Lonchura striata: one gene and its partners. The protein of the gene in region 2 purifies or fractionates together with the protein of the main gene of each other region. This does not show direct contact. Links are inferred from orthologs where the notes say so. Each region holds a gene or a part of one and is shown on either strand. Other genes may lie near its edges. The genes, in order: VOPP1, WWOX and WBP2.

The links.
Region 1: the proteins of WWOX (region 2) and VOPP1 purify together in Homo sapiens (affinity purification with mass spectrometry; 3 studies listed by BioGRID and IntAct, with this or other methods). This does not show direct contact. The link is inferred for Lonchura striata from reciprocal best matches to the Homo sapiens genes WWOX and VOPP1.
Region 3: the proteins of WWOX (region 2) and WBP2 purify together in Homo sapiens (affinity purification with mass spectrometry; 3 studies listed by BioGRID and IntAct, with this or other methods). This does not show direct contact. The link is inferred for Lonchura striata from reciprocal best matches to the Homo sapiens genes WWOX and WBP2.

The regions. Positions count from the first base shown.
Region 1 is NC_134603.1:105,252,113-105,262,368, reverse strand, and holds the start of VOPP1 (WW domain binding protein VOPP1), read right to left. Parts: upstream 4,490-10,256; 5' UTR 4,363-4,489; coding exon 4,312-4,362; intron 1-4,311. UniProt on the Homo sapiens protein: Increases the transcriptional activity of NFKB1 by facilitating its nuclear translocation, DNA-binding and associated apoptotic response, when overexpressed. May sequester WWOX in lysosomal vesicles and thereby regulate WWOX role as tumor suppressor.
Region 2 is NC_134615.1:17,593,962-17,604,868, reverse strand, and holds the start of WWOX (WW domain-containing oxidoreductase), read right to left. Parts: upstream 4,647-10,907; 5' UTR 4,618-4,646; coding exon 4,511-4,617; intron 1,506-4,510; coding exon 1,441-1,505; intron 196-1,440; coding exon 138-195; intron 1-137. Other genes in the region: protein NDRG4, read right to left, coding at 9,622-9,776, 10,389-10,427. UniProt on the Homo sapiens protein: Putative oxidoreductase. Acts as a tumor suppressor and plays a role in apoptosis. Required for normal bone development. May function synergistically with p53/TP53 to control genotoxic stress-induced cell death.
Region 3 is NC_134621.1:4,387,168-4,397,946, reverse strand, and holds the start of WBP2 (WW domain-binding protein 2), read right to left. Parts: upstream 4,831-10,779; 5' UTR 4,768-4,830; coding exon 4,709-4,767; exon of another isoform or gene 4,704-4,708; intron 3,107-4,703; coding exon 2,998-3,106; intron 2,466-2,997; coding exon 2,330-2,465; intron 783-2,329; coding exon 690-782; intron 471-689; coding exon 354-470; intron 142-353; coding exon 16-141; intron 1-15. Other genes in the region: E3 ubiquitin-protein ligase TRIM47, read right to left, coding at 9,455-10,080. UniProt on the Homo sapiens protein: Acts as a transcriptional coactivator of estrogen and progesterone receptors (ESR1 and PGR) upon hormone activation. In presence of estrogen, binds to ESR1-responsive promoters. Synergizes with YAP1 to enhance PGR activity.

The DNA of each region.
Region 1 (10,256 bases), on a different chromosome or scaffold from region 2:
CATCACAGAGACAACAACACTGGTGTCATGCACATTTGTACACTCAAGGGTATATACACTTCTACAGTACTTTATAGAAAGGAAAACCTGACCACTAATGGATAGAAAAAAATACCAAAAATGGGTGGAGAGGGGAGGATGCAGCAGTCCTCACAAATTCTTGAACTCCAACTGTGCTACCTAATAATTTAAAAATTATTAAAATGTAGGTTTTTTCTTTAAGACTGGTGGGTTTCCTCATCTTAACATTCTCGTTCCTACAAAGACTAAAAAAAAAAAAACAAAAAAACCCAAAAAAAACCCAAAACACAAACAGTCAAAGAAAAACTAGAAACAAACCTCTTCAGGAAGGACAGAAATTTTTGGTTTCTCTGATTTGATAAAATCTTTCATGTTGAAGCCCACTTACAAGAATAATAATAAAAAGCTCAATACAGCAGTTAACCAACTGAGGAGTACCAGCCAACTTTGCTGTTACTAAAACAAATCTTGTATGACAGACTGTCGGGAGTATTTGAATTTTCTTTCAAGACAACACATTTTGCCATTCCTATGACATGTCCATTTTCTTGTTCTTTTTAAAAAAGGCACTTGACTCTTGCATAGTATCTTTCATCTGACAAATTAACAAGAGGACTCTACTGATCACTAGACTCTCCTGGATACAACATAGGAGCCAACCAGAGGTGTAGGCATCTAAAATTATTTGATAGTTTTGAAAGTTGAGGCTACCCAGCAAGCTTCTCTGCAGCAGCAACAATAAAACACCATTATTACCACTGTAGCACAGATAGGGTCCTCTATAGGCCTGCAACAGCTCTGTTCAGCTTCCCCATCCTTGAGCTGAGCTTCAGCTGCTGAGCTCTCCTCCATCCAGCACTGCTACAGCTTGTGAGAGAGAAAGCAAGCACTCAGTCTGAGATGTAAGCCCCACAGAGACACTGGTACCCTCATTCAGGCTGAAAATAAGCTTGCTTTATCAGGAGGTGGGGGGACTGCCTGTTTAGTTTTATTTTTTGCCTATTCCAAAGACATCACTATTCATTAAAGTCATATTTAAGCTCAGACAACCAAAGCCCTTGGGATCACTGATTAAAGAGAAGCAGAAAATACTGATATATATGCCCCAAACAGTCATCACTTCAAGGACCTCCTCAAATCTTTCCATAAAACTGAGAGCCAACTGAGACAAAATACAGTTCTGCTGACAGAACCACGAGCCAAGCTAGCAAGCAAGACTACTGGTTATTTGTGAGTGAAGAAATCATAGATGTCAGTACTGTGAGTACACCAGTCATCCAGGCTCCTGGTGAAAAAGGGCATTTCAAATAACTGCAGTTAATAACACACTGCTATCTCCAAGTAGTCAAATTAATTTGAAAAAGACAGATAAAGATTCAACAGTCTTCATTTCTTCCTGCAAGAACCAAAATTACCTGTCAAATTGTCCACCTCATTTTACCTTACTTGTTAAGCTGTTCAACTGCAATTAAGTCATGAGCAAAACACAGGACATCTTTAGCTTTTCTCCCCTAATAATGTCTTCTCAGAGGAGAGCTTTCTGGGTCTTGAGGCTGGAGATTTTTCTACTACCATGGTCTTTGTGGTTGCACTGAAAAAGCCCTCATCACACAAGAAAACTCAAAATTAATTCCCTTCTCCCACCATCACACTGGTCTGGCTGTTTCTGTAATTAGTGCATCTCAAGCTTGTCTAGAATAAGGAGAGGTATTTCAGCACCAAGAGCCAGCAATTTCTTATGTGTAAATCCTGCTTTGATGGTGATGCCTTTTGTCACCTTCATGAAACCACCCACCAGCACATGCCCCTGCCCCTCAAGCCCCTCTTCTGCATCTTCTGCCTTTACATCAGGAACAGCAAACCCTCAGTTCCTCGTGGGAGAGACTGCCACAGCCAGCTACTGACTAGACTTCAGTCTGAAAATACGAACACACACACTCCCCACACCCAAACTCACACCCACCATGAACTTGATGTATACTTAATTGTCAAGTTCATTCCTTTCATCAATATAACCATAAATAGTGGTTTCACAACACATAAATATTTTACAAGTATTTTGGGTAATCTACCCAGGGAAAACATAGTTGGAATCGGTAAACTACTGCATAGTGCCCTGGCAGACTAAATGGGTTCCTCCCCACAGTACCTGGGTAAGAGTCAGAGCCTTTTGCAAATTGATGAATGAAAACCATATTTCTCAGCTCTGTTCAGTAATTACTAAGATCATGTTGGAGTTGCAAACAGATTTAAAACGATTGCAACAATGTTATTTCAGATAATATCCAGTGCAGAACTTTGTCCAGAAGACATCAAAAGTTTCATGCACCAAAAATCTTCAAAGCAACCAGATGTCTCCGATTAAGTTTGTTAAACCCCCAGCACCCCATTTCTGGGCATGTAGAATACAGCCTTATTTACACAGCATCTCATTTTAATAGGCAATGTAAGAACTCCCGAGAAAAAAGAAAAAAAAATCCACAAAACCAGATGGCAAAACAAACATTCTAGATTAAAAGAAAAAAAAAGGGGGAAAAAACCCACAATTAAAACCAGTACAAAAGCTTAAATAACAGCAACACTGGCTAGACCCAATGAGGATTTATGCAAATTACTTTTTGCAGTCAGGAATGATCTTTTTCAGCAGAATACACGTTAAGAGAGCAGAGACGTCTAATCAAAGGGATCCTGGAGGGGTGAAACCTTTCAGTGTCTCAGATGAACACAATCTCTTGGGGAAATGGTGGTGTTTGTTTCATTTAATCGACATTTTGCTATTCCTGCTTTCTGAAGAGCTGCTGTGGAGTCAAGTGCAATTAAGGGCCAGAACCAAGGCCAGGTTTACAGCCAGGGAAAAGAGATGCAAATCAATTAACCTGTAAAGAGTTATGCTTATTTACATTAAGCAATGATTTTGATCTGAGTGTTTTAATGGGATGATGCTGGATGGCACAGTGGGCAACACACCAGAAATCATTCATCCACGTAGGTGGCATAAACATGTAGTAAACATCATTTTCATTAATTATATCCATTACCAAAATTAGTAGCTACACAGCCAGCACTCTGGTTTCCATATATGGAGTTTGGTGGCATGCCGTTTTTTAAAAAAAATTAATTAATGTCCTGTCTAAACTGCTCTGTCACAGAGGCAACACAGCTCTTTCACCTCTCGGACACTTTCAGCTACATTGCTTCTGGGTTTCATGAACGTAGAGATGTGCCTAAGAGAAGCCCACGGGTGTTTCCGAAGTCACCCTGGCACGCTGCCACCGCACGTGTCCCGGCGGTGACTCCAGCTCGCTGCCGAGCCTGCCGCCGGGAGCCGCAATCCTCCGGCTCGGGGGTGCTGCTGCCCCCCTGCCCGTCCCCAGCCCGAAGGTTAAACCACAGACGAGAGAAAACGTCTCGCCCCCAGAAAACATCTGCCTGCTGAAAAAAAAAAAAAAAAAAAAAAAAAAAAAAGAGCTGCTTTCCCAACCCACTCATCCAGTGTCATCCCAACCCACGGGAGGGAGGTTTAAACTAGGCGATCTTTAAAGTGTCTTCCAATCCAAACTATTCCATGCGTCTGGAACTGCGTAGCGCAAATCCGCCCTGCAGTTAATGAAAGCTCCTAGTTCACTGTTTGTTTGGTTGTTGTAAGTACGAAAGCTGCGCTATCCAGGTTTTCCCAAAGTTCAACCACGCTGCACGGTGCCGCCCGGCTCCTCGGGAGCTGACACCGCTGCCCCCCTACCTACCTCGCAATGGACACTGCCCACGAAATGCAAATAAGAGAATAATGAAAATAAGAGACGCGCCTTCCGTCTAACCCTTACTGACTGGCGTAGGCTTTGCGTCCCCTGGACAGCCTGCCACTCTGCTGGGAATGGGCAGCTTCCAGCAGCTTGTGCCCCTGCGTATAGGTCCCGCGTTACTCCGCTCCATCACACGGCGGATAATCTTCCTCTGCTCCAGCAGTAAGACCGCGGACACGCGGCGAGCCCGGCCGCCGCGAACGCCCGTGACCACGGCGCCCGCAGCCGCGCCGGGGCCCGCGCAGCCCGGCCCCGCGGCCCCGCCGCACTCCCGACCGCGCACCGCCCGTGGAGCCGAGGCCGTTCCGGCGAAGACATGAACCCAACATGAATCGCCTCCGCGCACGCCCCCCGCCTGGGCGCGGGCTGCAGCTCCCCTCCGCCAGCCGCGCAGGTCCAGGTCGCGACCGATGGCGGACCCGCGGGGTGAACCCGGCGCTGCCGCGGCCGCCGCCGGGCAGGGCAGCGCTCCCCACACGGCCCACCTCACCTCCCACAGCAGCGACAGCAGCAGCGCGACCCCGGGCTGGAAGCGCTTCATCTCTCCTCCTCCTCCTCCTTTCCCTCCTCCTCCCGCGGCGGCGGCGGGCTCGCCCCTCCGCCTCAGGCGCGCACGGGCGCTGCCGGCCGCGCCATCCCCGACGGCGGGGGAGCTCCGGGCGGCAGCCGCACCGCGGGCTCACGGCAGCCGGGGGAGGCGGCCGCGAGTAACCCGCACCGGGGGCAGAGGGACGAGGCGGGGTAGAGCGGCGGTGGGGCGGGGAGGGGGCGGGGAAGCCCCGCGGCAGGGCGAGGGCGGGCTGACCCGCTGATCCCCTCAGCGGCAGCGTCGGCGGCCGGGGCCGAGCGAAGCAGGGTCGGGGCGAGGCCAGGTGGAGACCCGCGGTGCTGGGGCGGGAGGCACAAAGACGCCGCCGCCGGGGGCGGGCGGAGCAGCGGCCTGCCCCGGCCCCGCCCCGGCCGCTGCCCGGCCGGGAGGGGGCGGTGGCGGCGGATGCGCGGATCCGTGATCCCGCCTTTGCCTCCGCGTCTGCCCTGCCCCGCATCCCCCCTGCCCCCGTCACCGCCCCCGCACCTGCCCCGAGGGGACGGTGCCGGGTTCCTTCCTCCGAGGAGCCGCGCGGTCCGCGGGTCGCCCCTGACCACGACACCCCTTCCCGGGAAGAGCGATCTTCTGGGGTGAATCCAGAGGAGGCAACAAAGATGACCAGAGGGCTGGATAATCTCTCCTACGAACACTAAGAGTTGGAGCTCTTCAGCCCGGAGAACATAAGCTTCTGAGGACACTTTAAAGCAGCTTTCTAGTACCTAAAGGGGGGGTTATAAGAAATATAAGGACGGATTTTTTTTATCTGTAGAGATAGACCAATGGGCATTGAATTGAAACTGAAGGAGAGTCGATTTAGGTTGGACATGGAAATAATCGTTTGCAGTGAGTTTGGTGAGACACTGGAACCAGATTGCCTAAGAAGTTGTGGATGCCCTATCTCTGGAAGGGTTCAAAGCTGGGCTGGATGAGGTTTTGAGCAACCTGGTGTAGTGGAAGGTGTCCCTCTCCATGGAATAATCTATGAGAGTCCTTTCCAACTCAAATCATTCTGTGGTTCTGTGATTCTATAAGGTGTTCCCTCTGCCAGCCTGGTGGGTGGGAACAGGAGCTGTGTGTCTAGCCACCCTTGCCCATGCAGTACCCTTTGGCATTTCAGAGGAGTCATTTCCTCAGCATGCTTGGTAACAGCCCTGGGATATCTACCTGTGAAGGTCTCATGACAAATCCTGAACTGGAGTGGAGGTGCTCTCCAACCCCAGTTCTGATCTCTCCAGCTGCAGGTGGCTGCTGTAGTTATGCCTTGGGTATTTCCTTCATCATGACCATCTTGTCCTGATGCTTTGAGCCTCCTTTTCCAAGCCCGTTGCACCCTTACCAAAGCTGCACACTGTATGCAGTTGGAGGGAGGCACAGCTCTTTTCTGAGTTTAGGAGGATTAGAGGTCTCTTGCTCCTGCTTTGTAGGTAAGCTAGCAACTTAATTCTCAGGGGGAAATCAAAATAGATAAGGGGGAGAACTGCTCCATTTCCCTCTGAATGGCAGACCTTTCCCACCAGCATTTCTGAAGGAGATACACCTCCCACTGTTCTTTTGTGGGTTACCTATTAAAAAACTACTAGCACATCCTCACAATTCACAACTCCTTTGTTCACCACTTCTCTGTCATCATAGTAGTCAAGCAGGAAACTTGCTGTCTCCTGATGCCACATTGCAGCAAAACATCATCAGCTGGTTACTTTTTCCATACAGTGAACTTTGGGTGAGTTTACAAGCATCTTCCAGCTGGTACCATTAATCATATGTGCTCTCAGGCCCAGGTCATATGCTCTAAGTAAGGAGTAGCTGTATACAGGTTCCCACACACTGTATGACATTGCGTGCTCAGAGGCACCCTGCACAAGTTCTTCTTGAGGGCCACTCATTTTGATACTTATTTTTGTCTCTGTTTGATGCCAACCAATCTGAAGTTGTGTGATGAATTTTTCAGATGAATGCTTGCATCTCTACTTGAATTTGCTAGAAGGTCCCTAAGGAAATGTCATGGCCATCGCTTTGTCCAACAGTGAAGTCTGAATAAGGCAATTATACACACAGGTGTCTATATATAATCTCAGTTGAAATGTTGCACTTTATTACATCTGGCATATTGAGAAAGGTATGTTCTGCACTGGGTATCACCTAAGAGGGATCAGCTTATGTTGTCTCAACATAGGCATCAGTTCAAAAAGGCTCCAATTTATAGAAGTGTGAAAAAGATGGTTTTCAGAGCTCTGTCCTGATGTATGGCTAACCCTAAACTCCCTTCTCATTCCTAATTTCTGTGTTCCATGACCTAGGAGACAGCTTTTTGGAAACACTCAATGACTCTTCATAGAGAAGATGAATAAGAGCATAAAGATGTTTAGGGACATCAAATGAATCTGAATGTCAGTGCTGAGCACGAGTGCTCTGTGCCACTGCTGTGTTTCCCAGCAAGGGTGCTCTGGCAGCCCAAAGACAGGCAGACAGCACAAATTCTGGGAGAACTGAGAAAGTACTAAAGCATAAATAAAACTTAGGAAAGAAGCCTGGAGTCTTGCAGCCTAAGACACTACCACACTTGAAGGCTGACCCTGCCAAAATTTTCAGCTGATGGCCCACTGTCAAATGTGCTCGGGCAAGAGCAAGCTCTTAAATACATTTTGGTTGCTGGTTAACACATATATCACTACTGACTTTAGCTTGAGAACTAAGAAAGTGTTAGAATTTTTTTTTCCTCAAAAAAAGATTTCAGCTAAGGCAAGAAAGGCTGAAATTATTATAAATTTTTAATCAATAGACAGATTAGCAAGAGTGAGATTGAAGCAGCAGTGGGCTGGAGGAAGCTATCCAGTGTGGAAGCATGTGCTTCCCAGTGCATAGTTTATTATTCAGCCTAGATAAAGGTATGGATATCCCGAGCTATAAAATTCTTTCCAGGCCAACATAAGCTGAAAAAAGAAAAACATCTCCTGACCTCAAAATAAACAGTTTCATGTTCTATTTCAACCATAACTTAGCTCCCCTTATTGATGTCTTCTTTCATTTATACCTAGCTCCAAGAAACCGTCTTCATCCCCAGGGAAAGCCCATTAGCTTCAATGGAGTTCAAATACAAATGAACTTGGCTCAGCGTGTGGCATTTTCTCAACAGAAGTGCGAGTTGCAGCAGAGCCCCTTAGAGCTTGTCTAGGCGAGAAATTAACACTTTCTCTCCACCGTGCAGCAGCTTGATGGCGAGGCAGCCCGACACAACGGGGAAACAAGATAACGCTTTTGTGGGAGGCAAGGTCTCTAGCTAAAAAACCAACCCCTTCCTTCACATCCTGATTCTAGTTTCTCTTCGGTTACTGTGTTCAAAAAGCTTAAAACTACAGAGCTTCCAGAATCTTTGTATAGAAACAAATATATATATATTTTAAAACGAAATGAAATAGTTACAGGAGCAGTGACAGTAACAAAGCTTTATTTTACCTGATTGAGGCTTGTACTGCAGCTGAAATATTAATAATATTCTGCTTCTCTCTGGATTCATAGGTGTTCCTCAATAATATTGCCATAATTCTCTCAGCAGAGTTTGCCAATATTAACATATTTCTTTTACTCAACTACCTCTCTTTCCTGAAACGTAAGAGCATACATTATTTTTGAGACTGCCACTCCTTGGTCAACTTCTCTTTTTCAAACTGAGTAACAGGTATAAAAATTCCTAGGGGGCACTCACAGCGCATATAGATGTGTATATTTTGTAGACCTTATTTATTTTGAACAGTTGAATATTTTTAAATAAGTAAAAAATAAACTAGTTGTATGAACACTTCATTTTTTCTGTAGAAACAATTCTGTTGTTTCTAATACTATTGAGAAATACTCAATTCCACAAGGGCTGTGTGTGAAGCTGGTAACCACTTTATTATGAACAAACAAATACATTCTTTTCATTTGCTTCCCTACATGAACTGTAAATAATTATCTACCTCTACAATTTTGTATTTAAAATATTTCACTACCTTCTTCACAGGTGCTGTTAAAAATTAGCCAAATCCTTAATTGTTTTCCCAACTCTCTATTTTAAGTGTAGGATCACCTTAAATATATTTTGAGGACTTGGAGTTTTTTTATAAATATGAAAATGGCAATAGCCTTTATCAGGAAGTTAAAGAAAGCCCTTTTAAAGTACATAAAATATTCAGGAAGTGCCTAAAGCCTTCAAAAATCATCACTGGTATCTGTTGAGAACTACACTAGCATTATTAATTTTAAAGAATGGTAGGAAAAATATTCATGAATGCAGCAATAGCAAGCCAAGACAAACACAACGTTATATTCCTGCAGCTTCCGTTTCTTGTTCAAAGCAATTTGTTTATCCAGGGTGTGTTTAAAGAAAAAAAAAAAAAACAAAAAAACACCATTTTTTTCTAACTATCAAGCAGCTTACACAAAGGTGCAGTCTCTTGGCAGAATAATAGTTAAATATTAGTCCAACTTCCCAGAATAAAGGCTAATTTTTTTTTTCATCACTTGCACCAGTAATTAATCATTGTGATTGACTTTAAATGAAACTTTAAAGGGAATATGACTCAGGACTTGTTGAAGTTTCAACAACCTGCTCCAAATTCAGTAGCATATTGATACCATTGTCTCTATCTTCAATAATTATATTTCAGTAAGAGTCTGTGGAGGTTTAGAGAGATGACCCAGATGTAGTAGCCCTCTTTCCAATGCTAATATAACTTATTTTTTGTGTGGAAGGATATTACTGAGCTACATGGCACTGATTAAAAAAAAAAGTGACTGATTCTTATTTTAGTACTCTATTACATCCATTGCTCTTCATCAATATCTGAAAACTGCAGGTAGAAGTCACTTTTCCACAACTAATGACATTAAGTACACCTCACTGAACTGAAACAGAATGGCTGCTTACTGGATTATGCTTTGAGACCTCCAAATAAAAGTCCCCGGTAGCCACAGTCACTACTACACTGGAAGTCTATGTCCACTTGAAAGAAAATATAACACATTTTACAGATATGCTAAGAAATGAAAGTGGGGTGGTTCTCTAAAAGCTATTCTACCTGGGCTCCCAAAGAACACCCCCACTGTCACACACTGTGACTTTCAGGATTTCTAGATGGAGTTGGATATTTGTCCATCATATTAAAAAAATAATTCTATAGCAAACAGTATTTTGAGAAGCAGCAACTACAAGCATTAGTATTCTGAAAAGCAAAGCTTATTGATTAAACATACTACCCAATTGAACCAGAATAGCTGTGTCAATCAGATCAAATGCGTTTTTATTCAGTTTTCTCAATAAAGAATGAAGTTTTATCCCCTCAGCAAAGATTTTAATGCTTTGTGTTAGAGAACTCAGGAGCTGAGAGGGATTATATTTTTCCTGGAAGATAGATCATTTGTAAATGCAAACTCTTTATTTGCAGTCCACAGTGAAATGACAAACGTGCTTGCTGGAAGGATTAAGGAAGGTTAAGTTCATTCAGAGTATTGTTACAGCACCAAAGCTCATGGCCAATGAAACATTTAGGCTTTGAATTCCTATTTGGGCTCCTGTTACTGATTTCGGTGGATAGTTGGAAGCCTAAACACATGCTGTTGAATCTAGGTGTAGTGTGCACTGCCTCAGACCTGAGCATAGTGAGTACCAAACACTGTCAAATTAGAGCAGTAACTTTCCAACCTGCCTGCAGACAGTTTTTAAAGAGACTAAAGAAAAGATCTTCTGGGCAGGTGACCAAATCTGCCAGGAGAGGAGGACAGGGCTGAATTGCACATATAGGAGAGAGGGAGAGTGAAAGAAGAAACCTGTCTTTGGCCAGGCAGAATCAGAGACAGAAAGCAAGTAA
Region 2 (10,907 bases):
TATTGGATTCTGAAGCTGCATTTATTAATCTTTTTGTCTTTCCAGCTGATATTGTCACAGTATCATAACTCAGGAGGCTACTCAGCATGTAACCCAGCTGTCCTCCTTCTACATACTCCACAACTTGAGATACTTACTCCACAAAATAGACTTGCCCATTTTCATCAGTCTCCTGCTCCCATCCATATGGCAGATCTAGGAAGCACATTAAACATTAACTTTATTTTTAGGCATTAGCATACTCTTCAATTTGAAGTTTAAGTGATTTCTGATGAGACACAATTCTGCATAGTTTTCTGTAGGTGGTGCAGCTACCTGCTGCCCTTGAATTCAGAACTTGACAGAAAGTTTGCTTCCCTAATCACACACAATTGCTCTCTCCTAGAAATACAATACACAGAAGATCTGGTACAAGTGCAATGGCTGGCAGATTAAGTATAAAGACAGTCTAAAAAATCTTTATAAAGATTATTTCATGTTATAGCAGAGAAAAATAAAACAGCAAAATGCAACCATGCTGCCAAGCACATACAGATCTATACTACTCACAGTTCAGTATCTACCCCTGCTAAAATAAAAAGCAAAAGCTTTTTAGGAAAAGTTATGTGTAACACATACCAAAAGCTGAAAGATCAGAACCCTCAAGTGGGCATGAGATACAATAAATCAAACCTAAATGAGTCAATGAAGCTGGAAGGATAGATAGAAGGAAAATGACAAATCTCTACATAACAAGTTCTTATATCAAAGAGTCTACAAAGGTAGTTAACAGATGGCATTCAGAGTATTTCTAACCTTAGCTAGAAAGTATTCATTTCACTTCCATTAACTTCAGACTTGGTGAAAACATTCCACTTATAGTCAGATTACCAATGCCAAAAGAAACATGGCTTGCCAACAGTGTAGTGTCCCCAGGTACAGAAGCTTCTGGGAAGATCTGATTTAAGGCACTGACCCAAGGTCCTTGAAAAGCTTTTTCCCCTGGAATTTTCCTGCAACACTGCCTGCCTTCTGTTCTGGCACAAATATTCAGCTGGGTTGGGGAAAACAGGTAAAATGAGAACTAATGAGGCTTCTTTCTGTGCCAGGGATACTCCTTGATGAAATACATTCTTTGAAAAATATTATCCAACTATAAATATTATCTGACGGACACCAGGAACACAGAACCCCAGCTTTTGACTATATCCTTTACAAGCCACAGTAAAACAAACTGTGTAACCTCGAATTGGTACTTTGGCCTTATGGAGCAATACAGAAAAGCCATAAAACTGCAAATCATCACACAATCACAGGGGTAAAACCCCACTGAAGTCAGCCATATTCTACCCACTCAGAATCAGTGACAACTCAAAGATCAAAATGAGATCAGTTGGAGTTTGTGGAGGAACCAGGTGTTTGTAAGATAATGTCAGCTCATTACAGAAGTTTAACACAAACCTCCTGCAACACGTTTCCTCTTCCCAGACTTAGGATGTTCCCACTGTGTTTTTTCTTCTAGGTGGCTGCAGGAAAATAAAAAGTTTAAGATTTTTTAAAACTGCCTAATAAGCTTTCTGATGTAACCCAAAATATTCCCCACACTTCTGAAAATAATCAACCAGAGAGCACAGGAGTCTATAAAAATTCAAATAAATGTTTGACTTCCAATCCAGGTTTTGTTGATTATTAGGAAAAAAAAACAAACATAAAAACACATTTAAAAATAACATTAACAGACTCAGAAGACACCTCAAAAAGATGATGATCCTTGGCAGGAGTAAGGAAGAAAGAACAAGAAAATAATTTATTACCAGCTAGTAATACTAATATTAGAAAGTCTTCAAATTACAAAGGTACCTTTTTAAAACTCCAGCCTAAGAATATTGATTTGTAGAGTATAATATACGTAAGTTGGATTTCTATGAGCAATTGTATCTTTGGACAGATAAGTTTATCCAAGGACCTTGACTAGCAGGATATTTATTTAACATACATAACAATGGTATCCTATCTTTTCTTCAAAATAGGAGACTTCATTCATTTAAATCACTAACAGAATTAAAATATTCCATTGTAAAATTTTCTGCACTGTAGACTAATAAGCAAAGTCATGTGCATATACACAATGTCTTAAAATAACCAAAGTGCTGAAATCGAGTTGGACATTACCATCTCATCTTTCACTGAGTATTTTTAAATAATAACCAAGTTTTAAGAGTCAGGCAGGGATTAATTGAGTGCCCAAATTGATAGCTGCCCAAGTGTGAAATAAAGAGTGACAACAGCAATAAATAACACACAAATAATTACAAATAACCTACAGGCCCAACAGCAATTTACACACAACATAAGCAACTTTCCCTTCTTACAGCAAGCCCACAGTGACAGCTCATGGTATTAGAGGAATCACAGCTGGGGAGCTGAGACTAAACACGTGCACATGTGTGACCAGAAAAATAGGAGATATTTAAGCAAATTACAGCTGCCTGACAAACAGGCTGTGTCCACCTGTGTGCACACCTACGTGATCATAAATACCTTTAAAAGCCTTCAACTAAAATAATCTTTTCCAGCTAGAAGTTCATATTGATGATAAGGTTTAAAGTAAATTCCCAGAATATGCAGAAAAATCACACATACAGAGTGTATACTTAAAGGCAGCGACAGTGTAACACCTCTTCACATCTAATATATTTTTGGACATATTGAGCAAGATTTTAAAACAGTTAAGATATATTATGTAATGTTGTTAAACTGAACCAGTCCAGTTTCACAAGAGTTCAGAAACTGACCTGTTGAACTGACTGTGTAACAATTATGCTCAATAACACCTTGTTATTTCATAGGTTTGTTACTTTCACCAAGTGAATCCTTCCTGACAGGGCTCTTGAAGTCAAGGGAAATATACAATCAATTGACCTAAGCAAAACAAACACCTAGAGAGTAATCGCAGTGTTTACAAAGTGTAGATAAACTAAAGCATTTTGTCCAGTGTTAATAAGGGCAGAACCTGGGAGGACAAGGCGAACTCACCACCAGTGAGACTGAAGCATACTTTCCCACCTTGTTGTGGAAGGGAATAACTCTTGTAGCTTTAAACAGACGGAAGGAAAACCCAAGATGAGCATGGCTACAGAAACCACACAAGAGGAGAGAGTGTATAAACACATATTCTCCTCAGTTAGCTCATCCTGCATTTGTAACCTGGGAGGATGGAATCGTGTCCAGCGGCACGGGCAGAAGGTGCAAAATGCAATTCCTACGCAATTCTTCATCTCGTGCCCAAGGTGCACTGAAGAGACGAGGAACGCCATGCACAGCGTTGAACTTCCCATCGCACCTGCTTCTCTTCTGTTCCCACAAAGAAGAAACCGACCCACCTGCAACATTGTGTAAGCCTCACCCAGAACGCAGAAAGATCGCCCACGGAGCCCCGAGGGCACTGGAACAGCCCCGGGATGGCTCCGGCCGCTCCCACCGGCGGCTCCGCCGACCCTCCCCGGCGGGGCCGGTGCCGCCGGCTCGGCACCGCGCACACGGGCACCGCGCGCACCGGCACCGCGCACACCGGCACCGCGCACACCGGCACCGCGCACACCGGCACCGCGCACACCGGCACCGCGCACACCGGCACCGCGCGCACCGGCACCGCGCACTCGGGCACCGCGCACACGGGCACCGCGCACTCGGGCACCGCGCACACCGGCACCGCGCACCGGCACCGCGCGCACCGGCACCGCGCACACGGGCACCGCGCACTCGGGCACCGCGCACTCGGGCACCGCGCGCACCGGCACCGCGCACTCGGGCACCGCGCACTCGGGCACCGCGCACACCGGCACCGCGCACCGGCACCGCGCACACGGGCACCGCGCACTCGGGCACCGCGCACTCGGGCACCGCGCACTCGGGCACCGCGCACACCGGCACCGCGCACTCGGGCACCGCGCACTCGGGCACCGCGCACACCGGCACCGCGCACTCGGGCACCGCGCGCACCGGCACCGCGCACACCGGCACCGCGCACTCGGGCACCGCGCGCACCGGCACCGCGCGCACCGGCACCGCGCACACGGGCACCGCGCACTCGGGCACGCGCGCACCGGCATCGCGCACACGGGCACCGCGCACTCGGGCACCGCGCACACGGGCACCGCGCACTCGGGCACCGCGCACTCGGGCACCGCGCACTCGGGCACCGCGCGCACCGGCACCGCGCACCGGCACCGCGCACACGGGCACCGCGCACACGGGCACCGCGCACACGGGCACCGCGCACTCGGGCACCGCGCACTCGGGCACCGCGCGCACCGGCACCGCGCACTCGGGCACCATTCCACAGGGTGGCTGTGGCTGCCACAGCCTCGGAGCCCGTCCCGCACACCAGCGGGCACCGCGCACGGGCGCCGCGTCCCCGCTCCCGCCCCGCGGTCCGCCCGTGAGGCGCGGCTCCTGCCCCGCACCGAGGGGCGGCTCTGCGGACCCTGCCACAGCGCTCCCGGCGGGCTCGCCCCGCTCCCGCCCTTACTTAGCATAGTAAACCCAGCCGTCCTTGGTGGTGCGCTCCTCCCAGCCCGGCGGCAGCTCCTCCTCGCTGTCCGTGTCCTCCAGCCCCGCGTACTTGAGCGCGGCCATGGGCTCGGCGCGGCCCGCTCGGCCGGAGCGCCCCGCTTCCGCCCCGCCCCGCGGCACCATGGGAGCTGTAGTTCCGCCTCACGGCCCGGTGCGGGCATGGCCACCGAGGGCATGGGCGCCGCGGGGCGCCCCGGTGAGCGCGGAACGGGGGTGGCAGGGGTTTAGGGTGCTCTGCTCAGCCCCAGTGAGGCACGTCTGGAGTGCTCTGGGATCTTCAGCACCAGGAGATAGAGGAGAGGGTCCGCAGAGGGCGCGCAGATGATGAGGGGTATTGTAAATGCAGGCGAACCCAATGGGAAGAAATGACTATGTCTGACTCAATTCAGAAGGGTGAATTATTTCTTTATTGTAACTATGCTAAAATACATTAATATACTATATAAAAGGAGGATACTCAAACTACATACTGCTTTCTCTGACTCTATCTCTAACCCTCCCACAACTCATGACCCTCTCTGAGAGTCCAGCCCCAGGTGGGTTGGATTGGCCAAGACCTCAAACAATCCTCACCAGAATTCAACCAAGCACTCACCCCAGCTAAACAATTCTCCAAACACATTCCACATAGGAAAAACAAGGAGCAGGAATATATATTGTTTTCTCTTTCATTTCTCTCTGTGCACCTCTATGAAAAATCCAGAGAGGGAGAGAAATGCGCTTGCCACAGGGGTCTGGAGCAGCCGATGTCAGGAGGGACCGCAGGAGCTGGGCGTTTGGTCTGCAGAAGAGAAGACTCAGAGGGGAGCTCATCAATGCATAGAAATATCTCAAAGACTGTGCCAAGGGGGTGGTGCAAGGCTCTTTTCTGTCGTGCCCAGCAGTGGGATGAGGGGCAATGGCCGGAAACTACAACACAAGCTCCACCTCGACATGAGGAAGAGCTTCTTTACATGGAGGGTGGCAGAGCTCTGGAATAGCTGCCCAGAGAGGTTGTGAATTCCTCTCTGGAGACATTCAAAACACACCTGGACATGTTCTTGTGCCACCTGCTGCAAGTGACTCTGCCTTGGAAGGGGGATTGGACTGGATGATCTGCCAAGGTGCCTTCCCATATGAGCAGTTTGGTGAATTTGTGCATTTAGTGCTTCCAGCCCTGTTTTCAGAGCAGCGAATACAGCTAGGCCCTGGGCAGCAATGGGAAATGAACTGTTCTTTAAGCTGTCCCCACCTCATCTCGGGGATGAGATCTTCCTCATCAGCGAGGGATCCTTGCTGAGGAAGGCCTGGCAGGAGAGAAGTACCTGTCTGTGCTAACACCCACCTGGGACCTTGCAGGCAGCTTCACCTGCTGGGAGGCACAAACACAGTCACCCTTGCCAAGCCTGGCTCACCTGGGGACACAGCACAGTCGGCTGCTAAGGCTGGAGCATTCAGGGAGTTGGCAGAAACCTGCAGTAACTCTGTCCTGGCAGCTGAAGCCCTCTCCCCTGTACACCTGGGACAGATGGAGGGGGAGTGCCTGGCACCATTGCTCAGCTGCTTCTGATTCCCAGACCTGTGTGCTGTCATGTTCCTGTTTACATAACCAAACCCAACAGCCAGCGGTTGTAACAGCATTGTTGTCCTTTGGTGGGGTGTTTTAAACAAAAAACAAGGCAAAGGCGGCGTTGGGCAGAGGCTGTGAGCACTTCAAACCGCACCAGATGGCAGTGCAGCCTCACAGATGCACCGCAGGCTCTAAGTCGAATTTTCATGCACTATTTGAGACACTGACCTATATCGTTCCCTCACTCCCCGCTAATGGCATCCATATCTGGCCAGAAAAAACAGCCTGAATTTTTTTCTGCCCTGCTGCTCCCATTGTTTTGCAGGTTCCTCCAAGGGATTACACGTACTAAATGATCTCCTGCTAGAAATAAAAACTCATGCATCATCAACAGCCTGTTCTCATGAGAGTATTACTGGCAGTATTAAAAAAAACTGTGACTATACTTTTTTTGGGTAAATATATGGGAAGGGAAGCTTCAGTGACTCACTTGCTTCTGGTCCAAGAAGAGGTAACTGAATGGTGAGATGGGCCAAGTCCCAGGAAAATAGATTATTTAATCTGAAGAACAGAGTTTTAATCTAGCAGTAGCAGGGATATGGAGTTTTCAGTTTTCTTCCTACTGCAGTCTGTCAGCATTCAGCATCTAGCACTCCATGAATTGCATTCAGTGGGAATGTGGAAATCATTTGTCTGACATCCTATCCCAGCCATGGCCCTTTGCATTCCCCCCACATGTCCAGGCTTTCTGTGCCTCCCCCAGGGAACCATGAGTGTGGACACAGCCACAGTGTCTCCATGCTTTGGCTCTGGGCCCCTCTGCAGGGCCTGGGACCAGTCTGGAGTGACCCAGCACAAGGCAGACACTGACAGACTCCACAAGGACTAGGATGCAGGGACAGGATCCTTCCCAGGCAGGACTTCATGCACTTGGAAAGGGTTAAGACCTGGGACACTTAATGGGGAGACAAACAGGGGCCCTGGCAGTGGACAGGGAAGCTGAGTTTCCCAAGGACCCTGCTCATCCCCAGAGTTGTGCAGCCACAGATCTTTTCTTCCCCAGTGGGCGCCCCTTGGATCCAACCTCACTGGGCTACAACTGGCAGCTTTCCAGCTTCCATCCACTCTTTACATACAGGGCAGCCTGGCTATGGCTACCCTGAAGCCAAAGCACCCCACAGCTTTCCCCCACGTGCACCCTGGGGTCCTGTGGGCATCACTAGTGGGGCTGGTGGCCAAGGTGTGTCCCCCTTGTCCTCCCCGTGCCTGCCAAGTCTCTGCAGGCAGGCCCCAGGTGGGCTCAGACCCATTTCCCTACAGCATGTTGTAAAGAGCACAGCAGGTTCTTAACATCTTTATTAGTTAGTTGGTTTATTTCCAACACAGTAACTCCTCTCTACAGCAACAGGTTAGTTAAATCCGGTTTACATATTGCTGTCTCATGAGTGCTGCGGCCTCGATGCCGCTGTGACAAAACCAGGCTGCACTCAGACAGGAAAACATGTTAAATTCCGCTGTGACTGGGAAAAAAAGGAAAACCAACAAAAATCAAAAGAACAAACCACCAGGGAAAACCAAACCAACCAACCAACAAAACCAAGGTGAGGAACTGAAGGTGAGCACGGCCACACCACCTCCAGGGAAACCACACGGCACTGCTTGGACAAGAATGCAAGGAGTGAACCCAAAAAGGTCAGGTATTGGGCAAACCCTTATATATATATTATGTATAGGTATTTATATATATATATCATCTGGAAGGACACGCTGAGAAAACAAGAGATCGCAGCGGTATCTACCGTAAAAAGGAGCTACGTAGCTTTCAGAGTCACACCAAGAAGGAAGCACACAGCAGAACAAAGTGGGGGACAAAGGGGCACACTGGTGTTTTGGGGTGGCCTTTTACTATGAGAGGGTTTGGGTGGGGCATGGGTCTCAGGGCCAAAAGCCCTCATACACCCGCTGGGAGCCCCAGGAGCTCTGTGCCCTTCACTGGGGAGCAGGGATGGGCTCTGAGGGTAGAATGCTTTTGTGGGGCTGGGTGGGACCTGCTTTCAGCGGGCTGGTTCTGCTCGCCCAGGCGGTGGCACCTGGTGGGTTCCCTGCTCAGGTCCCCCATGGACCACCTACAGAGACCTGAGCACCCATCAGCAGAGGCAGGGCCACCCTTAGCTGTGCCTCACAGCGTGCCCAGGAGGGGCTGGGCACGGCAGCAGAGGTTGGGTGGCCATCACTGGGGTTGTGCAATGGCAGGAGCCTCCGTGCCGAGTGCAAGAGGCAAGAGCCACCTGGAGTTGGTGGCCAGAGGGGGCCCCACGGCCCTGAGGGAGCCAAGCCCTTGAGAGACGCCCCGCTCAGCGCGCAGGCAAAATGCTGGAGCTGGGGTGTGGATCTGGGGAGCCACGGTGGGTCTGGCAGCTGTGTGGGCAAAGACAGAGCATGGAGTGCTCCCCACATCCCATAGGGCACCCCACAGTGTCAGCACCTTGTGGTGAGGCACCCTGTGGGGCAGAGGGTGCTGAGGGCTCCCCAGAATGGTGGGGGGAGTGTCTCATCTTATTGCTAATGGCTCCTCGGTGATGACACCCACAGGTTGTGGCAAAACTTGAGGTGGGATTTGCTGTGTGACATCCCCTAAAACAGTGGCCTCTGAACCCTGGCAGGCTCAGCCCAAGAGCTGGAAGTGGAACTGACAGTGTGACAGGGGCCAAGCCAGCCAATTCCCCCCTCCCCAGTGCATTTCTGGTGGCAGACAGTAATTGTCCTTCTTGCAACAAGGGATGAAGGAAGTGCCACCACCAGTGAGGGCATGGACAGAGGCAGGGGGACACGCATGCCACCCTCCTGCCCTTAGAGCTTCTGGAGTAGGGCTGACCTCTCTTCACTTGCCCCAGGGCAGCCCTCAGGGTACATGACCAGGGCGAAGGGACAGTTTGGGATGTGATTTCTCACGAGGCTCAGCCAGCTCTGGGGTAGCAAGTCCTGGGTGTGCTGGGGGATCCCATGCTAGCTCTCCCTAGAGAGGGCCATCAGGGAGAAATGAAAACTGCATCCCTAAGAACAGACCAGTGACCTCCCTTTAAGCGCTGCTCCCTGTTCCCGTCTTCCTTTTAGGCAGCCATCAGTTGAACTTGAGAGACCAACCTACCTCCTGTGTCCTCTCCACGTGCTGTCCCACCCCATCATTCCGTCCCACCCCAACATCCTGTCCCCATCTCATCACCCTGACCCTGCTACCCCATCCTGGCCCTGTCCCCCTGCCACCCACCCTCCCAAGCCGGAGCCAAGCCGATGCTGGGGAGGGTGAGGACCAGTGCAGAACCATGTGTGACTGCTGGATGAAGCCCCTCTCCTTCTCCTGTACCAGACAAGGGGATGAGGCCAACGGCAAAGAAGACAAATTGACCCCAAAGAAGCGAGGGCCCTGGTGGAGGGTGTCCACGGGGCAGGTGGGTGCTGGCGGGATGCTGACGGATGGGAGATGGCTCTGAAGGAGACGTCGGCGGCGGGCGTGGACCTCAGCACGATACCTCCATGGTGTGGTTGATCTGCCCCATGGCCTCGGTGCTCTCCGAGTGGGTGCAGGCACGTGGGCGGGTGCCATCCACGGAGCTGGCGCTGGTGAGGGAGGCGGTGCGGGAGCGTGCCAGGCGGGTCATGCTGGCAGATGGCACTGCACGGGCACAGAGAGATGGCCAGGGTGCTCAGATCCCTCTGAAAACCTGAGGGACTGAGCCAACATTGCCAGCAGCCCTGCTCCCCGATGCGACTGAGCCTGGGCACAAGCTTGCAGCAAGCGGTGGTGTGACAACATGAGCAGCTCCAGGTAAGGGACAGCAGAGCAGGGCTGCTCTGGGCAGGCTGAACACCGGGCTCACTCCTGGGCATGCAACCTCTGGGCATCAGGCAGTGGGAACCCTGGACTACCACGCTCCAGGAAAGGAGTGAGCTGGGATCAGAGCTCCCCTGGCTGCCCAGGGTGTGCAGGGAAGGTGGCACCCTCCCCTAGCCAGGATGGCCAGTGGGCATAGCTCCTGGCTTGCCTGGAAGAGGGTACAGTGAGCACATTGCCAAGACTGTGCCTGCATGGAGAGGGAATTCTCTGAATGCCATTTCTCAGCCCTCAGACCTGGCATATGTTGCCATCTCAGGCAAAGCAGAGCAAGACAGTGGGAATCTGGCTGGGAATGGCCAGTCCTGCACCCAGGCTGCTCCCAAAGGTGCCCAGGCAGCTGGAGGGCACAGGCCAGGCAGGCACCATGCAGCAGTGGGCACTGAGCAGTACCTGTGCCTCCACTCAGCCTCCGATCCTTCAGGTGGGTGACTGGCAGGGGCAGGAGAAGGGCAGGGAGGGCAGAGAGAGAGTGTCAGCCACTCTGCTGGGCCAGGAGCCCCTGCCCAGCCCACGTGTGCCTGCACACGCAGCTGTCCCTGTGCACACAGACTGCACACACATACACACGTGCAACAGACTTGCAAAAACACACACACACACACACACACACGTGCAACAGACTTGCAAAAACACACACACACACACGCACGTGCACGTGGACTTTTGCAAGCATGCACACACAGGTATAAACACACACTCACACGTAGTCTTAAACTTTGCACACACACATGCACAGACTTCTGCATGTGAGCTCTGCTTGTCTTTGTTGCACACACACACAGCCCTGCTCGTGCATGCCCAGACACACACACACATGCACACCAACACAGGGAGCCTACACACACATTTGTACACACAGAGCCCTTGTACACACCTGTGTGTGCACACAGAGCCTGTACACCCCACACC
Region 3 (10,779 bases), on a different chromosome or scaffold from region 2:
GGACATGCTCCTTACCTGCAGGAGTGGAGGGCAGGTCTGGGCCACTGACAGGGGGGGGTTCCATGGGCCCTGGGTATGGAGGGGGTGGAAGCTGCATGTAGCCCATGTTTCCAGCGGCTGCAGGAGGACCAGGATAAAAGTCTGTCAGGAAAGGAGATCACACAGCAAGAGGCTTAACTCCTCTGGGTGGAGTTCTCAACCAAAAGAAGCCAAGGCAAATGTAATTCAACTCAGGAAAAAAAGCTACACAAGTCATCACTAAAACATTGAGTAAAATCTGATTTTCTTGCCCTTTTTACCTATTTTAACTCTTCCTTGCTGGAATAACCCCCAGCCTCAGTTGCCAGGCTTACCTGGAGGAGGAGGTGGGTATGGATAGCCCCCATTAGCTGCAGGTGGTGCAAAAGCATAGGATCCATTTGGCATGTAGGAATAGCCATAAGCTCCACTGGGTATTTCACCTCTGGAGACTGGGAAAGCAAAGACAAGACTCATCAGAACATCAAGCCTGCCTCAAAAGCAGGCCAACAACTCCAACAAACTTAGAGAGACCTTATCAGAAAAACAAATAAGTGTCATCCCAATAAATCTGCTGCTCGTTGGATTGAGAAAAGTATGTTTTAAATCAAGCATCAGGCAAGGGCTCCTGAAACCACAGAACTCTGGCAGACACCCCCAGCCTTCCATACCTTGTGATGCCACCTGCAGCATCCGCTGCCCAAATTCAATTGCACCCCCAGCTGAAAAGGTCATCTTGAATGTGGCAGATCCTTCCCAGCCACCTGGGGGAGGAAAGACAGCACGAAGGAGAAACCATTTCCATGCTATTTAGGTTACATGCTGCACCTACAGATGCTCTGTATATAATTCTTAAAAGAGCTTATCCCAAAAATCCAAATTAAAAAAGAAAAAAAAAAGCAGAGAAAGTGGGAGAATTATGGTATCATCAGAAAAATTCACACTGGGGTATTGTCAGGTCAAGAGACACCTGAAGCAGAAACATCCATGAGGGAGAGCTTCAGAAGCTTTCTGGAGTTGTGGCTATTGCCACAGTAGCTGTCAGAGGCCAAACTGTCTGGAGTGCTGGATTTGCTCTTGCTTTGGATAAGATTAGTGCAGAAGGCAGGGATTTTGTTAATCCTGTTTGCTAAAAAGCCTCTACAACTACACCTGTCAGCTCCAAATTAGTTTGGGAGTCTGAGTGCCCAAAAAAGCAAAGAACTTAATGGAAAACATAGTCCACATAAATCCATTAGAGCCCATGGAAGATATTTCAAGTCAGGATAAAAAAAATCAGAAAACAAATAAATTAGTGCCATCTCACATTACAGTACAAAAAAGAAAAACATGCACAGTCCAGAGTCCCAAGAAAGCATCAAAGCAGAAGCTGTGCTGAAACAGACACAAGTAGATTAAAGAGCTTTTTAAGCTAAACCAGACTCTCATGGCTGTTAAGACAACATCATCATTAAAGGAGATGGCCTCTGGGGAAAATTAATGAAGATCTAGCTAAAACCTTTTGCCTTTCACACAGTTTAGTTTGTCATTAATGCTCAGGCTCCCTCCCATGCTGGATGGTCCCACTCAGCTCCCATGCAGAGGCTACAAAGCTGATTTCAGAACTCCAGCTGAAGGCTTTTACACCCTGTGCTGTGATTTCTGTGCCACAACTGTTAGACTGAATCAAGCTGAGGATGAAAGTTTGCTGAACTCTGTGCCTTTGGTAAAAAAAAATCAGTCAAAACCAAAATTATTTTTGAAAATGTCTGCCACAGCCTTCTCATTGAGTTTAATGTGAAACAGCTCCTTAAATTCCCCAATTTCAAGATAATCCATTCCCTTCCAAGTGCCATTTTCACTGCCAGGATGCACTACAGCAATACCACACCTGCCCTTGAACTGCACAAGAAACACAATGGAGAAAGGGCTCTGGGGGTCTGCACCTGAACCCAAACAGAGCAGAAAGGATCTGAGTTTTTGGCACAGGAGAACCTGGATGCAGGTGGGATAGGTGATCCCAAGTGACCAAAGCAAAATGACATCTTCATTCTTGCTGACTCCACTCTGGTGTTTATTTGCTGAGATCACTTGTTTGATTGAATTTTGTATTTTGCAGAGGGCAGAAATGAGATGGTTTGCAGAGCACATCTGCTCATTGTAGCTGAGCAGGGAGCTGGTAAGGGGAATGTTTTTAGCTGCCAGTGAAAGAAACATATTTTCACATGAGTGTGAAAACCCATTTGGACAGTGTCAAGGTTTGGTTAGCCAGGATTTTGCTATGAGTGAGCAGCTGAACTGAGACACAGAACATCCATTATGTGATACCCACCTCCTGCCTCTGCCTTCACTGTGCCCTTGATGTAATTTGCTCCAAACACTGGCTGCTTAATTTCACAATCCTTCAACAAATAAAAGGGCATCACAAATGACTGCATAGCATCCTTCCCCTTTGACACAAAGATAACCTGAAAGAAAATAACATGAAAAGAGCTAGTCAAAACAAACAGGAAACACAGCCCTGATTTATTTCATGAACAGATTTCTCCATGGACTGAAACTCACTCCAATATCACCAGTTCCACAAGCCAAAAGCTACACACAGCAGCCACAGGGGTAAACCAAATCCTCAAAGTACTAAAGCCTTCCAGGAAGTCCCTTGCTCAGGTAATGCTCCTTCCAGCTTCCTGAGAACCTGCTGCCCCACACAGCTATGATTTAGTAGCTGTGCTGCTGCATTCAGCATTTCCAGACCACTGCTAATTTCCAGTTTGAAGATGCCCGATGGACTAAACAGCTGCCTGGACAAGAACTAATCAGATTTATTATCTGCTGACAAATAGATGGGATACACCATGAATTCACAATGCTTCCCAGTGGGAGAGGATGAGCCACACTTCAAGCAGGAGTAGATTATCCTGACTTTTATACACTGAGGACATTTAAACAGACTCCAGGGCTGTTATCTCCTTAGATGAGATAAAGCCTTTCTCCACTTACCCGGTAGGGAGTCAGGAAAACACTCCCTTTCTTGGTGCCCTTGAAGGCCTCTGGCATCGGCTCCAGATCACTGAAGGTGATTTCTACGTGGTCATAGGTCATCAAAACACTGCACAAGTGACACAGAGACAGCAGTTACAGCTCCAGGCACAAGTGCAGCATGCACAGAAGTTTACTGACCTACCAAAACCACCTGTAACCTCAGCACTGAGGGAGATGCTGAGCAGACAGACTCAGTTCTGGTTTGCCTTTTTTTGGTTGTTGTTGTTGGCAGCAGCAACTGAAGTAGCACTGGCTGCTTGTTCCCTTCCCAGTGTGCTGACACAGCTGCTGCTGCTGTCTGCACAAGCAGGCAGCAAACCTGGTCAATTGAGCTGATCAAAATCTCAAGGGCTTTTTTTTTTTTTTGTTTTAAATTGTTTCACATTTCTGCTGGATCAGTTCCCTAATTCAGTTGCCCACAAGTGACACGACAGAGGAAGAACTGCAGGAGAAGAAAATGCCCAGGCTGGCTTATGTAACACGGCTGTTGAAGGTCTCAAGCACCTCTGACACAAAAATGTGATCCAGAAGAACTCCCCTTCCTCACCACAAGACTTCATTAACTTGTGTTGCCTGCACTGATTCCTTAATTCTCAATTACAAACTGACCTGATTAAAACCTTTGCACGGACATGGCAGGTAACTTGTACTGACATTACAGCACCCACATTAGGGACTCTAATCCCTAAAGCTGCAGAAATCTCCACCACCTCTATCTTTGGCAGCTGATGTGTTTCCTCAGTCATTTGCCAGTGAATGCCTGTCCCTCCAGAACAGCTCGGGAAGGGCAGTGGGACCAGCTCTGTTCTGGCTGCAGCATTTCAGCTGGATCAGCAGGCAGGCCCTGGTGCAAGGCAGGCTGACAGCTGGGAACAGCAACCCCTTCAGCTGCTGCAGTTCTCTCAGGGAATGCATATCTAAGTACCTGAGTTGATCCTTCTAAGAAAGGCCACATCCCAAGTGGAAGCCAGGCACAGAATTCCCACACCAATGTTTAAGCAGCCCCGTGGAAGGAAGGGCTGGAGGATGAAGCACTCCTTTGTCCCCGAAGCAGATGCCTGCCACGTCAGAAGCTCGCTGGCAGACAGGGCTGCGGACAGCCCTTTGCCGTGCAGACAGAGGCGGCTCTGTGCAGCCTTGCCGTTTCCATGGTTATATCCCAGCACCTTTTCCCAAGGCTGCTGCTGCCTCCCGCACACACAGAACGGGGGCTGAGCTCCAGGAGCCCGGGGCGGGCAGCCCCTGAGCTGAGGCACGGTGCAGCTGCAGCCCCGCCGAGCGGGGAGAGGCCTGGGCCCAGCCAGATCACCTGAGCCCTCCCGGGGACAGCAGCAAGAGCCAGCAGCAGGCTGGGGGACAGGCTGGATGCTGAGGGAAGCGGTGCAGAGGGGCAAGGCCCGCGGCTGAAGCCCAGCAGCTCCCCTCGCACAGGCCCTGGGGCAGGAGGATGCGTACAGCCCCTAAGCCGTAGGGAGATGAGGGGGGAACGCCGGCACCGAGAGGGTTAAGCCACCCCCTTTACGCGCCTCGCCCCCTCAGCACGCCCCGCCATGACCCACACAACTGCTCCCCCTGAGGGAAGGCAAGAGGAGGGCGGGGGGAGAAGGCAATTCGCCGCTATCCCCCGGCTCCCGAAGCCGGAGGAGGGGAGAAGGGGATAGCACCTCACTTCTCGCTGTTGTTAACGATGACGCCGCCGCCCTCCGAGTGGTTCTTGTTGAGCGCCATCGCCGCCTCCTCCTCCTCCTCCTCCTCACAGCATCGACCCCGCTCTGCGCCTGCGCGGGAAAAGCTGCGCCGTCAATGGGACCGAGGGGCATGCTGGGAGTTGTAGTCACCGCCATCTATGGAGCGGATAACTTATCTTTCTCCGCGCGGTGCATGCTGGGAGTTGTAGTCCACCTCACACCACCTTAGCGCCCGGCCATTTGCCCGCGCGGAGCATTCCGGGAGCTGTAGTCCGTCCATGCGCGGCATTTACACTCTCCATGTCTGCCACGCGGTGCATGCTGGGAGTTGTAGGCTGACCTCACCGCCTCAGGGCCTGGCACTGTCTCTCTATAATTGGTGGCGTAAAATAAAAATAATCCCGGATATCTGGCGGTTCTGCACGTGAAATGAGGTTTATCCCCTTAAACGGCGAAGATGCTTCATTTCCCATAATTTTTTAAATTCCCACTTGATGTGCATTTCCTGGTTTTGCACACTTGCAAACAGATTTTTGATCCAGTTGTTGGCTGCTTTCAGTGATGGAATCAAGCACATCCAAAATAATCCCTTTATACTGAAGTGTATTAAACTAGAAAGACTAACCAGCTGCCCTGTAAACAAGCCAAGATCGTGTCTGTGTGTCTGTCAGAAATCTGGGAGCAAGAAAATAGCTGTGGCATCTGCAGGATGGGTCTAAACTCTTTACCTTCAGGTGTGCAAGTTGGAGGAATTAAAAAAAGTAATGATTGCACAACTTCATTTAAAAAAGGAACCTGCAAACTTGTTTGAAGGGCTCCCAAAGATCAATAACTGACAGCTGTATATTAATAATATACAAATCAGAGATGTATCACCCTTTATTATATAATTTTAGATGGATCTGAGCTATTCCCTGGATTTGCAGCCCAGTTCTGTCTGAGTGCCTGAGAACCAGATGCGAGCAGTGGGGGAAAGCACAAAAACGACATAATGGAAACCAGATTTAAATAAATGCAGTGACATAATCTGTATGGTTTCTTGGCAGGAAAATGACAAGTTTGTGCTTTTCATATCCGCTTTTTTAATAAGCAGTAAGTTTCCCTTTTAAGAAACAGCCATAACAAACAGTTCTGATTCTTCTCCTATTAAAGTCAGGAGCAGAATCCACTCAGCTTCCACTGAAACGCCCAGATGGAGCATTGGCACCTCACATGAATTAAGGCTCACCAAGTAACATTTTTATCCTAACTCCAGTTGACATTTGGGATTAAGAAAAGCAGGCTTCACTTTACAAAGATGCTTGCTGTAATTGCCTGTGTGTGTGTGAAGCTCTAGACCTCCTCATCACACAGAAAACCCTGGAAATTTATACTCTAAAACTTAAAAACACTAAGGAAAAAATACCTAATCTGATAATCTTTTTTATTTGTAGGATGAGGACAGACATATAAGAGAGAACTGAGACAATTCATTGTTTTGAATTGCCCAGGGCTGCCAATTATTATTGGATTTTAAGGTTCTTCCGCTCCTTCTGCAATAAAAATGTGTATATGGCAGAATTCCCTTGGACACACTTAGAAAATAAAATCTGCGTTATTTTATGCCAGATGTACAGGACACAGAAAAATAAACATAAGATAATGGGACAAGTCAAATGGTTTGGTATTTAAAGGAAAGACAACCCAGGGCAATGATTGTATCATATTTAATGGTCAAATCATAGTCTCTAACACCATTATATTATTCTGTTACAGTTTTTTCACGCACTGTAAAACACCCTACAGTTACTGTATTTAAAAAATCCTAATTAAAAAGAGGAACACTCTGTGACAGCAGAAATAACCCAAGGGAACAAGGAAAGGCTGATTAAATTGCTAAAAGTGCTGTCGGCCCATCTCAACTCATCTCACCCTGTGTTTAACCCTTTGCTTACAGCAAGATCAGGGATCCAGAGCTGGCGCAGTGCACGTTCCCTGATCCTTCCAGTTTACAAACTCCTGGCAGCACAGAGCACACTCTGACCCAACTCCTGAGGGGATTGCTCCTATTTTAAACCATCCCTAAACCAGGAGGGTTTTCAGCACTCCCAACCAGGATAAAAGCAAGCAGCAGGAAAGAGAGGCTTGGGCAGCACTTCCCAACTGCGGCACATCCACAGGAGCCCCCAGGATGCTCCGTGGAGCTGCATCCCTGAACCCACCCAAAGCAGCAGCACAACCACACACCATGGCCAGACACCCCAGGGGCTTCTTGAGCTGCTCCCACGCCGTGACAGGGTGGAAAGAGAAGATCCCTCTGAGCTTCCCAAGCCCTGAAGGAGGCCAGAGGTTTGTGTCCGAGTTGGGAAAGTGGAGAGGGGTGGGATGAGTGGCTCCAGTGTGGGTTTCCCCTTGGAGCAATCAATCCTCCTACAGAGAAACAAAACAGGGCAAAGACCCAGATGTGCTGTGTTTACTCTGGCATAGCTCCTCGCTGCAAACTGTGGGAGTTTAGCCTGAATAAATGAGATTTAGGGTGCAGACGTGGGCCCACGTGGGAGATCTCTTCCTGCAGCGATGAAGGCTCCTTCCCTTCCTTGTCCTGCCAGGATGTGACTGTGCACAGGCTGTGGCACTGCTCTGCCTTTCTCCTTGCATCAGGAACTCTGACACCACGTTCTGCCCCCGTGCCTGCTCTGTGTCACCGCTGACATCTCGTGCAAGGGCTGAGCTCTGCAGGGGCTGCTGGCGCCAGCCAAACAAAGAGGGTTTGGAGCTCAGGACGCAGGGAATGAATTCCCATCCAGACAGAAGTCTGGGCAGCATTCCCACCAGCCAGGAAAGGCCAAGATTTCAGCTGGAGATTTCATTCTGGAAGCCCTACTGTTCCTTTTCCCACTGCTCGCAGCAGTTTAGGAGTAACCTCCTGCAGGGGAGGAGAAGGAGGAGGAGGAGGAGGAATTTGCAGACAGATCCCAGCAAGCCCCTTCCCAAACTGACTCATCAGCCTTGTCCTGGGGAAGGGGTGGCTGCTTTCAGACCCTTCATCCACTAAAATATCCTAATTTTCAGGGCACTGGCAGCTCTTTCTGCACCAGCAGAATCTGGCAACGCTGGCAAAGGAGTCACAGTAAAGGAGCTCTTTGAGCCTCAGCATGTAAACGTGGCTTTAACTGCAAACCTCCCAGATTTGTGCCTGCCTTTTATTCACATTTTTCCCTTGGCTCCACTTCAATATAGCACTATGATTTTCAGCTTATCCTTTGGGAAAAAAAAAAATCTATATATCATATATTTAGCTAAATGGGCTGCTTGTTATTCCTGCTGGTTGTTGCATCATCCCTGACTCACTCATGCCAGTGAAGAACCTGACCCTCTGTATTTTCTCTCCAGGTGTACATTATACAGCACCACGGTTCTGTAAAGCAAGCTTTGGGAGGTAGGTAGCAAAATAAACCCAGAAAAAATAAACTTGTGGAAAGGCATGCTGTGCTGAGACAGGGGCTGCTCTGTGCTTTTTCCTTCTGAAAAAGCTCCCTTAGGACATGTGAACTGGCAGTTTTGTCTCTCAGCCTCGAGTTTCCACCTCTCCTGAAGGGAACAGTGTTCCCTCTCATTTGAGAGTAATTTTTGTTAATTGTTACTTATTCCCAGAGTCCAAAGGGTCATTTAGTAGCTGACTGATGCTGCACCTTTATCAAGGCACTCACAGCTGTCCTACAACACTAAAACCAGACCATTTATCTCTGGGACATATTCACAGCACCTCTGTCATTTAAAAATCCCTAAGCTAAGGGGCAGATTTTCAGCTCAAGTGTGCCCAGGGCTCTTGAAGAGTTGGTCATTTAACAGTACTAAAATCCCCCAGAACAGTAGTGCCATCAAAAACATGGGGGAAAATTTGGCTGTAAAGCTTTGCTAAGAGTTACCAAAGAATGTGTTTACTTAAAGTATATCCTCAAGACTTGGTTTGTGCTGCTCCCTTCCCCATCTCCAGGTGGGAACAGTGGTTCTGCTTCTCAGCAGGAGGTTTCTCCCTTTCCCAGCTGGGCAGAGATCCTTGTTTCACATTTACAGCACTAATGGTGGGCAGCCCTGCAAGGAGAGGTGCTGCATCACCCCAGCATCACCCCAAAACCCAGCCAGGCTCCTCCATGTCCCTCTCCCTGGAGCACCATCTCTCCCATGCCAGGGCACAGAGGGGATGGGAAGTGACCACGTTTGCTTTGGGGGTTCACCTGGGCCACACAGGGCTTGCTCCATCAAAGGCACTTCACGAGGAGCATGCAGAAGGTGTCAATGAGGCAGCACTTAAAAAAGCATCAGCACAGAGCCTGAGATAAGGCACAAAGCATCTGCACAAGTCGCCGGAGCAGAGCGAGCAGAGGTGAAGCAGAGGGACTGGGCAGGTGGCCAAGGCACAGCTCTAAATCCGTGTGGCACTTCCAAGCAGCACACTTTACCAAGAAAGGCTGTGGCAGTCCCTGATGTCCAGAAAGGGAAATCAAGGGGCAGGGAGCAGCACAGGGACTGGCCCAAGCTCACTCAGGGGCACAGCTGGCACTGGGATCCAGCCCCATCCTGGCCCCCAGCCCTGCCCATCAGGAGGCTCCATCCAGCCCTGAGTGCCCAACAGTGCAGAGAGGAGAGAGGGCTGCCACAGAGACAGACAGGGCTACCAAAGAGAGGTGGCAATAGCCTGCAGGAGAGATTTCTGTGGCTCTGTCCGTGCCCCTCTCCCCGGGCAGTCACCGGCGCTTCAGCACCGACACACAATCCCTCTTCAGCGGCCCGATCTGCAGGTGGGCATCCACGCTCTCCAGGAAGAAGGCTGGCTTCAGCTTGCACGAGAAAAGAGAGGCAAACTGGTGGTTGATCTTGCTCTGGAACGGGTCAAGCTTCCCCTTGGCGGAAGGGGAGACCTTGAGCTGCTGCAGGCAGGTCATTTTGGAATCCTTGACTCCATAGAAGGTTAAAGCCCTTTCGGAATACTCCAGGAAGACGCCGATGGTGTGGAAGAAGGGCTGCTGGATGGCGTGCTCGAAGCCACCAAACCAGGCCACGTAGTTCTGGCCGTTCCACTGCAGGCAGCAGGACCTGTCGTTCCTGCCCAGGCGGCCGTGGTTGTAGGCCTCCCGCGGGTCGAAGTCCTCGGCGATGACCCCGATGCTGACCCAGCCGTCGATCAGCTCCACCTCCCAGTAGTAGTTGCCTCTGTTCATGAGGTTCAAACCCAGCACCTGCTCGCAGTTGATGAAGCGGGTGGGGCTCTCCGGGTAGGGGATGGGGCACAGCACCCGTTTGGCCCCCTTGGTGCCGAACAGCTGGATGAATTTGTCAGCTGTGTCACTGTCCAGGTCGATGATGAAGGCAACTGCGTGGGGAAAGAGGAAGAAGTGAGTGTGCAGAGGGAAATGCAAGGAAATCCTCCCTGCCCCAGCCTTTGATGATGAGCATGATCCTTTCTGACCTTTCCCATCACTCTGTCCCCTTGCTTTTAAGTCCCATGGCAAATCGCAGTCAATGAGGATGAAAGGCTGAAAGAGCTGACAGTCCCATAAGCAGGATGAATAGAGGTAACTGGGCAGAGGAGAGGGCAGAGGGGCTGCTTGATGAGCTCAACTGTGATACCAGGCATTGGAGATCCACCTGACAGACTGCTGGTAAGGAAATCTCACATAAAAGCATATTTCAGGCAAATATGATAAATGCACTTGAGAGAGACCCTAAGAATAGAGAACAGCCAGGTATGCCACAGCTACAAACAGGCATCCCCCAGCAAGTGCAGCCATGTGAGAGCCACTGGTGGATACCAAACAGAGAGGATGGCCAAGGAAGTTCTTCCAGGAAACAACTCTGGGCATGGATCACTATCAACTGCATTGCAGCCTGAACCATGGCACGTCTCAGTCTGACAGCAGAAGAGCACACCCTTCTTGAGCCAGGTTTTGCTGCTCTGTGCCACTGAGGCAGATCTTGTCCCCTACAGACATGTCAGATGTGACCCCATATCCCCTGTAAGGCTGGGGACAAACAGGTGGGGTGTGGAGGCTCAAGCCCAGCCCTGCACCCT